2 linked regions of the Schizosaccharomyces pombe genome follow. The protein of the gene in region 1 interacts with the protein of each later gene in a pairwise test. Each region holds a gene or a part of one and is shown in the gene's direction. Other genes may lie near its edges.

The links. The genes of interacting proteins can lie anywhere in the genome.
Region 2: the proteins of tho5 (region 1) and tho4 interact in a two-hybrid assay, tested with the Schizosaccharomyces pombe proteins (one study listed by BioGRID).

Annotation. Positions count from the first base shown.
Region 1 is NC_003423.3:754,181-759,340, forward strand, and holds tho5 (THOC5-like protein), read left to right. Parts: upstream 1-2,396; 5' UTR 2,397-2,479; coding exon 2,480-2,793; intron 2,794-2,876; coding exon 2,877-3,165; 3' UTR 3,166-3,385; coding exon of another isoform or gene 3,386-3,566; 3' UTR 3,567-3,615; coding exon of another isoform or gene 3,616-3,771; 3' UTR 3,772-3,821; downstream 3,822-5,160. Other genes in the region: rpl3801 (60S ribosomal protein eL38), read left to right, coding at 472-474, 604-790, 970-1,004; SPOM_SPBC577.03C (GCN5-related N-acetyltransferase), read right to left, coding at 1,380-1,843, 1,917-2,103; meiotic recombination protein Rec27, read right to left, coding at 3,386-3,566, 3,616-3,771, 3,822-3,862; 1-phosphatidylinositol 4-kinase Stt4, read right to left, coding at 4,228-4,241, 4,295-5,160. UniProt on the Schizosaccharomyces pombe protein: Component the THO subcomplex of the TREX complex, which operates in coupling transcription elongation to mRNA export. The THO complex is recruited to transcribed genes and moves along the gene with the elongating polymerase during transcription.
Region 2 is NC_003423.3:400,454-404,871, reverse strand, and holds tho4 (THO complex subunit), read left to right. Parts: upstream 1-2,506; 5' UTR 2,507-2,522; coding exon 2,523-2,567; intron 2,568-2,608; coding exon 2,609-2,677; intron 2,678-2,730; coding exon 2,731-2,855; intron 2,856-2,872; exon of another isoform or gene 2,873-2,961; coding exon 2,962-3,028; exon of another isoform or gene 3,029-3,188; coding exon 3,189-3,707; 3' UTR 3,708-3,918; downstream 3,919-4,418. Other genes in the region: SDA1 family protein, read left to right, coding at 1-610; gid9 (ubiquitin ligase complex subunit), read right to left, coding at 850-1,314, 1,365-1,886, 1,949-2,176; plg7 (1-alkyl-2-acetylglycerophosphocholine esterase), read left to right, coding at 4,188-4,418.

The DNA of each region.
Region 1 (5,160 bases):
GCAATTGATGTAATATAGTTTTCAAAAACGAAGAGCATAAAGTCGTTTGATCCTAATAGAAAGATGTAAAAGATATAGCAAATGGATATGTAAATCTATTGAAAACATTTCTTTGTTGTTACACTTCATCTATCAATTTCCAAAAACATTATGCATGGAAAAATTAAAGTATTAACTATAGATTAAGATATAAATATTGACCATCTCTTATTCTATTTTTTTTTAATTTTATTATCACGTACACTTAGTATATACCTGAGCTAAGCAATTTAAAAAACGAACTTCAATCTAACGCCCATTCAAGCAGTATAGTGAAGGATAGTGTTAATCCCCTTGAGCGAATACCGGCTGATTAAGAGCTCGTAATTTCTTTTTAACGAGTTACAAACCATTCGAGTTGTAAAACACAGTCACAGAAATTTTGATAAACTGGAAAGAATGAATTCTTGGTCTTTCACCAAGCTCAACAAAATGGTAAGTGAGATAAGTAGAGGTTTCAGCAGCTTATGGAAGAGAAAACTGTTTTCATCTTTCGTTCGTTAAAGTTGTCTCTGTAAAATATATTCAGTGTTAGGAATGACCATCGACTAATGCATGTTTTAGCCTCGTCAAATCAGTGACATTAAGCAATTCTTGGAGATCGCTCGCAGAAAGGATGCTACTTCTGCCCGCATCAAGAAGAACACTAACAAGGACGTTAAGTTCAAGCTTCGTTGTTCCAAGTACTTGTATACCTTGGTTGTCGCTGACGCCAAGAAGGCTGAGAAGCTCCGTCAATCTCTTCCTCCCGGTATGTTATATAAACTACTAAGAAAGATTAACTCAGTTACTTTTTATTGAGGGAACTACATTTCCTTAAAGCATTTTGCGAAGGAATTCTTCCTAAAGCGTTGATAATTCGTGAAACAAATGATCAGCTCTGAGTTAATCGTTCATATAAGTGAACTCAAGCTAACAAGTTTTCTATAGATTTGACCGTTACTGAGGTTGGAAAGAAGGCATAAAGTTTCTGGTTGAGTGATTAATGAAAAAGAAACCTCTCATGGTTTTTGCATTCAGTTAAAAACAAAAATTTTCTTTTTCAAAAGTAAAATGATCAATAAAGATTGTATTCATATTATTTTGTAATGTAATGTAAAAATCGAAGAGTAGAAATCGGTGAAATTATCCAAGTTGTTCACGAATTTTATAAGCAGACCCAATTCGCGATTATAAAATAAAGGTCTGTATGTAAATAATTGTTGTTGCGAGATGAGAGGTATAATTAGCCATAGGGTTGTGTAGAAAACAATTTTTAATAAACCCTTTTAAAGTAGTTCGCTGCATGTAACACTTGCATAAAGTAAACAAGTAAATAACTTTAAGCGTTGTTGCATCGCTTATGAAGTCCTCATTAGTTCAAGCTCTACATGATCAAAATAAGCGTTGTACTTAACTTGAGAGAAGCCCAATTTCTTGAATAGCCGAATACTAGGCTTGTTTTGGGAGCCAACTTTGACTCGATACTTAAGGATTTGCTTATTTTTGGCAATTCCACTGGATTCAACATAGTGCAAAAATGCATCTACAATCTTGGTTCCATATCCTTTCCTTCTATTCTGAGGCTCTGCAATCATCAATTCAAGTTCACCTACTATATGTACCTCTGACTCCTTCGTAGCATTGGTAGCATTAGCATCACTGGGAGAATCATCAAATTCTTCTATACCGTCTGCGTATTCCTCAGTCAAAAACATGTTCACATCCCCAATCATTGATTCAACGCTGTGGGCTTTTACATGATCCAAAATTGAAGGTTTCTTAGCTTCATCGTTTTCGTTTAGTAAAACGATAAACGTCAGCTCTATATCGTTAGAAAATGATTAGAACTTGTGATGCAATTGATCAATCACGAATGTTGAACCATCATAACATACTATCTTCATCAGTACTCCATGAGGCCTGCATTTGATATTCTTCGTCAAGAGTTAAAGGCTCTGAACAAGTAAGCTCTTGCAATTCCTCATTTTTCATCCAGTTATGGTATTTTAACACATGGCATTTTTGATATGGCACGAGAATCAAGTTGCCGCAATCAACAGTAGTATTTTGATTAATTTTCATTGAAAGCACACTTTTTTTTACCGACTCTTCAATAGCCAAATACTCACTTATTCCAAATGTTTACAGTATCAATCAAAATGATACCGAACCGTGAAGTTGAATATATGCAACGGATAAAAAAAACGTGATTTGATGTTTAGTAAAATAGTTTTACGAGAACTCTGATTGAAAAGACATTCAACGAAAATCTCTCAAATATATACAATAAATTCAAGGCTCAACTTATAAGAAGTTAGTTTTAGTCAGTTAACCTTTATGGTAGTAAAGGCGTAGCTATACTGAGTTGACGAGTTAAGCCCAAACGTCTACTCTTTTAAACAATTTGGAAACCTCCTCCTACAAAATTTCCAAGAAAGAGTAGTATTTCGTCGTAAAAATGACAGAAAATGCAATATCAGATTGTTTGAACGTTCTTGACTCAACTCGAACATTGTGTTTGCGAATTCATGAGTTGAAACAGCATAGCAGAGATGCCGACGATCAAAATCCCGAGCAAATTAAACGACAGTTAATGTCAAAGCTCTTAATCTTGCGAGAAGCAAATAGAAAATCTTACGAACAGCTCGTACAAGCAAAGACTATAACAGCCGAACACAAGTCTGAACTCGATAACGCCCGTATACGGCTTCAGGCGTTACAGTACAAAAAGCTGCATTTAAAAACGATAATAAAAAATTACGAAGAAAAGGAGTACGTGAAAGTTCCTTACCTTTTTTTTTTTTTTTTTCAGATTTCAAAAGTCTTTGTTCATTTCTTTCTAACCATTTTAATAGACATATATACACAGCGTTACCACTCGTCTCAAAAGAAGAATTTTTGAAGGAACACCCGGAATTTAAGAGTTCGAATGATCATGATCTAATGCTTGCGATTCTTGAAGACGAACTGAAAGAACGTCAACGACTTTCCACCTTAAAGCAGGAACTTTTAAAGAGGAAAGCTGCATTAATATCTGAAAATAAAGCAAAGAGGAATGCATTGCAGAAAGGAGATGAAAAGCTGCAGACTTTCCTTCGCTCCAGCGTGCCTGTCCAGGAGTACTATAACATTACCTCCATGTAAATTATTCCCATGAAAACTTATGTGTTTATTCATTTCATTTACTACCCATTTTTTAGCGTTTAATAAAAAGAACGGATTTAGATTTTTAGAAACGATTAGCCTCACTTTACTTTTTCAATTCTCAAGTTTGAAGTTTCAATTAAATTGTATGCTCATAACATATTTTTAATTCGTTTTATGATTTTATGGCACTAGTTTATATAATGTGTTTAAAATGACTTTATACTTCTGTATTTGTTGGTTGGTTCATTGGGGTTTTAACAACAATTCGCAGTTTCTCGGCATACTGTAACAACTGATTGCGTATTTCGATTTCGAGTTGTTGTTTTCTAGCTTCTATAGAAAGCTTTTCTTCGTTCAATTGTTTAATTTGATTCGCTTTTTGTATCTCAAATTCCTTTCTATAATTTGATGTTAATGACTGCCAGGATTACCGTTTTATTTTCGTACATTTTCTGTTGAACCTGGGAAACATCCTTTATAAAAGCCTTTTTCTCATTTTCTATATTGGTCTTGTATTCGCTTTCAATTTGGTCATACTTTTTGACGCGTCTTTCAATGTTTTTGAGGTTTAACTCTTCCAAAACATGCTCAATTATTTCAGAGCTGATTTAATTAGTATACGTTTATAATTATTTTTCCCTTTACTTTCATACCTAGATTGATCCGAGCCTAATGTTTCTGATCTTTTCTTCATATTCGTATTTGTTAGAAGGAAAGTTACCATAATTTATTTATATCCTAGTAAAAAATGGCAGGCAGCAAATGACTCAAAAATACATACCTAGTTATTTGAAGTTGTTTTTTTTTTAAATTAACATTCATAAAGCCTTTACAAGAGTGAGTTGCCATATGCTAAAATATACAACAGATACTTGACAATGCGATACCTGTAAACGCGTTTCATTATTCAATAGTTAATGTGATAAATTATCGTACTACAATACAAAAAAGACATTGCAGAAGAAACTATTATGACTGAATGATCGTTATATTAGATCTAATAAACTTAGCTGCAAGGTACTTAAACGGATAATAATTATTATTGCTGGTTGTTTTATATTAATAAGGAATACCTTAAAAAAGTTAGTAATTAGTTGCTCATTTATATTGCTTAAAATCATCTTACCATTTGTGGCCTTCTGGAATTGATCGTACATAAGCGTACGTTTGTTTGCATAACTCTGCTCAATCAAATGAAGCATAAATGTAGATGCTTGCCGTTCATTTAAATTCAAAGCAAATCTCTCCAGGCAATGAGTAATAGTTAATTGCCCCTTAAAACAAGGAAGACCCGAATCCAACATAACCTCCACAGCTTGACATATATAATGGGCATAAGGTCTGCAGGCAAGGAATGCTTTGACACAAAGCTCTTGAAACCACTGAAATGGCTGCGATTTATTACTGCCTCCCATAACAGCGATCATCTCTGTTGTCAATTTAAAAGGTGCACTCTCAAAGGTAATACCTCCAGGAGCAATGTCAAAAATAAAACCGAAATCAATATGCAAAATATGACCTTGGTCGTCAATCATGATATTTCCATTGTGTCTATCCTTAAATTGCAATAAGTATGTAATAACTGAATAAGCGGCCATACTTTGTACGAAGTTACTACGGGCTTTTTGGAATGCTATAGAATCTTCATCACCAAACTTTGTGCGGAAGTAGTCATACAATCCATTGACAGCCTCCCGACCTAGCATATCGCGTGAAATACAATTTGGTAAAACATCAATAACACCACAGCCCGGATTAGTTGCAGTAACTCGATAAGGAAAAAGATAAACGTCTAATCCAACAGAGTTAAAAATATTTTTGAACATTGCAATTAATTGGAGTGTTAAGACATCTTGTCTGCAATCATCACCAACCTTGAAGATGGCCGATTGCCAAACTTCATAAGTTTGTTTCTTAGCCGAATCGCCGGCTTCTTCTTCTGTACCATTCACCGCCAATTCCTCAGGGTCAGCATCAACCAACTTTTCTTTG
Region 2 (4,418 bases), 350 kb from region 1:
AGAAGGAGAAAATGGAGACGATTGGGATAATTGGGAAGTTTCAGAAGATGGACAGAATTCTGATGATAGTGGTGGCTGGATCGATGTCGATAGTGATGACAATATTGAATTAAGTGACAGCGATGAAGAGGAAGAGAAGGCCACTGCAAGAAAAGAATCAGATGAGAAAGGATCTTCTTCACAAAAGGAACTAGTTGATAGAATGACCGAGCTTGCGTCTCAATCTATTTTGACACCTAATGACTTGAAAAAGTTGGAAGAGCTTAGGGAGCAAGCGGGTGTTGATCGTCTCGTCAATGGACCTAAGCGTTCTTTAAAGAGGCCAGACGATGCCGTTGAGGCTGATGAAATTGAAGGTCCTAGAAAAAAGGCTAAGAACGACCGAGAAGCCCGTATTGCTAGTGTCATGGAAGGACGTGAAGGACGTGATAAATTTTCATCTAAAAAGGCAGGTTTTAACCCAACAAGTCTTTCTAACAAAAGAAAACAACGTAACAAGAACTTTATGATGATTAAGCATAAATTAAAAGGTAAAGCTGGACGAAGTCTTGTTCAAAAGCAAAAAGTTTTACGAGAACACGTAGCTCGTGAAAAAAGGAAAATAAAGTAAGATATTGATTACTATATTCGGTTTATGCTTTTCCTTTTGGGGCATCTTATATAGGTATATTTAATTAGGTTTTGGGTTTACATGATTGAGGGATAACCTATGGTAAAGGTGGATACTGGAAGTGAATTTAATAATATAAATTACTATCATTATTAAAGATAAACATATAAATCTCGTAGCGTCATCATAAAAAGTGTAAATCCTTAACTCACAGAAAATGCGTTATAGAATAAACAGTATCAAACCACATAAACTTTACGAAGAAGTTGGAATGGAAACTCTTTGCCAGAATAAGGGTCTCTAAGAAATCCTTCTCTAGTCCCATTAGCTTCGTTCCAACTTATGAGGCTCTGGATACCATAAACTCGACCGTTCGGGAAAGCAACAGGACAATTGTCGCTGTCAAGTCCTTCGCCTGTCAGAGAATCCACTATCGCAGACTGAGTAATATGGGCATAAGGAAGAGCTTTGCCAAGGTCATTTAAGCAGGGCGTACATACAGGGCATTGTTTCACAGTCTGGGATTGTAATGCTAAAGGATTATCATCATTCGCGTCAAGATAACACAACGGGGTTTTCAGGGAAGATAGACCAGCAGCTAACAATGCATGTAAAAGAGGTACAGACGGTATATTATGAACGGCAGTAAAATTGCTGGTAAACAAGGAAGCCAAATATTCCCATCGGTCATCGGATAGAAGCAACTAATTTGTCAGTATAAGCTAAGAGCAGAGGTCTCTCAATGTAAACTTACCGAATATGGTGAACCATTCGTAAATTCAGGAAAAGCTAGTAGGGCAGCCGCTAGCTGTAGTCGAGCAGGATGTTCATTTGCCCAAGTACCGAAGTGCGCTTTGGCGAATGCAATGGCTTGGCAAAGTTTTTTACTTTTTATTAATTCTATAAATCTCTGTAGTCGGACCTCAAGCTCTAATGTACTATTATTTTTTTTTAAAATTGCTCGATGCTCCGAACACCAAGACAAAACCTCTTTGAGCTCCTGTTGAAGAATGGAATCGTGAATGAGCTGATAACGCTTATATATGCCTAAATCAACCAAATTCTCCAACTGAGAGTCTTTACAAAGTAGAGCAGCTGCCCCATGGTACCCATTCGCCATCATATAATCAGCAACTAAACGATTCAGTCTGACTCTTGACCAATCTAAAAAATCCGCAGATTCCATGTCACGAATTCCTTGAAGACGATTCATGAACAACAGTCGTGACTTAGTTTGCTTGATAAACAGAGCTTCACAATCATGCAAATGCTTCATCTACACAAAGAACCATGTAAGTTACAAATATCCAACTCAAAAAAAGAATCAATCAAACTTACCTTCTTCTTTACAGTACTGACTCTTGAAAGGAGAGAATCTATTTTTTCTATTTTTTCATCCATTGATGCATTCTCTTGACTGATCAACGTTGTCAATGTGGAATTGATCACATGCGATTCATGCTCCAAGTGCCGCAAAATGTGTTTGAAGTTAATGCGCAATTGCTCAAAAGAGAGAAGAATACCAGGCTTTTCAAGTATATATTGCTGCTCTGGACGAAAATTCATGTTTGAAGGCAAAGTCTAACAAACTATTGGTAGATGGACCCAAAAATTTAAATCAACTAAAGAATATTGAATATTTTAAGAATAAGAAAGTAATTAGAAGAATTTGTTTAAATGTAAGGAAAACAGCAATTGCAGAAAGACGATGGGTTGTTGGCGAAAGATACACTTTCTAGGACCGTAGTGCAAGATGAATGAAAAATAAGGAGAGCTAAAAAACAATAAAAAAAGAGGTGCATATATTAATTTATGTCAGGAAAATCTGCAATTGGTATGGAAATCTCCTTTTTGGAATGCCCCGGGTTAATTTTTACCAGTCGACATTTTCGTGCCAAGTACCAATTTTCAAATGTCGCTGGAAAAGTCCTTGGACGAAATTATAAATGAAAGAACGGTAAATTTTTTTATTTTCGATATTTGTTTTAACAATCCTAGAATGGTTTTGATCACAAGCACAGTCGGCGAAGGGGATCTCAAAATCGTATTTCCAAAAAATCGCGATTGGTATGCTAATTTCGAGGATTAAGTGTTTATTTACTAATTTTTTACTTTTTAAGACCTACAAATTCAAAAGAGCATCAAAAGAACACAACTCTAGTCCAGACGATGGCCCGTGGCAGCATGACTTGGATCAAGAGCAGGATGCTCATCCAAGGACCACTCACCTACAGAAAAGACAACAGTATGTTTTGAATTTATAAGATAAGCTGTAAACTTTTTTATTACTCTATTAGCTCTTAGTCTACATGCACTGTTATTATCATTATATACTAACACAGCAATCTTAGCTCAGAAAATCGATTTGGGGTTCGTGTGGAAAACTTACATTATCAGGTTTTGGAAAAAGATGTTTTGGTAAGTGATATATGTTTACTATGTTTTCAAAAGCCTCGCTTTTAGTTTTCGATTGAAGATTATGAAACGAACCTGACAAAAAATCTCCCTGTCAAGCTAAGTAGAGCTTTGTTCCGATTTCGAATCGCTTTTTTTATTAATAAACTAACCTTTTCTTAAGTCTTTGTTTGAAAATTTCCATCCAATTCGCGTGATTATGAACTATGATCGTGCAGGTCGCTCTGAAGGCTCCTGCGATGTTTACTTTGAAACTTCCCAAGATGCTGAAGATGCCCAGAAGACGCTTCAATCTACGAACTTGAAGGGCTCCGAAATTCAAATTTCGAAAAAGTCTCCACCTTCCTTATTCGATCGGATTTCCGACATGCCACATTCAGCCCGCAAACCAAGCCGGTCTTCTCGTTCGAACCGAGGATTCAACCGTTCTTCAAAAAAAGACGACAGATCATTTCGTTCTTCTTCAAAAAAGTCTTCTAATAATTCAATTTCACACGAAGATTTAGACAAAGAACTTGACGAATACGCAATGTCATTTCACGCTGCTTCAACTGTGTCATCTCACTCATCACAGGATTTCACACCGTCAATAGCCAATGCTCATGAGAAAAACGAGCCTGTTGCTCCTTCAAAAGATAGTAATTTGACCGAGGAGATGGACCTCCAAATGGAAGCGGTTTAAGCTCGAATTGCTGTGCAAGTAACCCTTTTCCTATGCCAAAAGTTGATTATTGAGTCAATTGCTTTGATTTGTACATTATAAAAACGAACCGGCTAAAAGGACATCTTTCATCATAACCCCTTACTTTATATATAGATGCTCGTCAATTTCCATCGTCTTCCTTCTTCTACCACAATCGTACGAATCGTACCAAAAATTAAAATTTGCAGCAGACAGATTCATATTACCTTGCAAGGCCAAAAATTTATTAATTTTATTTTTTTTATTTATGTTTATAAGTGCTTGTTAACGAAAGAGATATTTTGTTTTTGTTTCTGGCATTATTCCATTCTATTCCTACTACAGTGATCATAGCAATTAACAATACATCATCACTGTGCTCTTGTAATTTGATTGAATCGTTTTTGACACAATCTTTCATTCTTTAAAATAAAATAAATTTATATATTTCTACATTACATTCTTATTTGTTAGGTAGAAATGGGATTGGGATTTTCTTCGAAAAAGCAATTACCTGCCTACTGTGGTCCCTTGCCTGTGGGGTCTTTAGTCTTAGAGCTGAGTGTTCCAGAGGAATTTCGATGTGAATATAAAACCATTGAACACAAACTAAGAACCGTAAAAGTACGCATTTTTTATCCATTGGACCCAACAAAAGATGTAGAGCCTCGCACCGATGAGCTTTGGTTACCATTCCATGAGGGTATACCC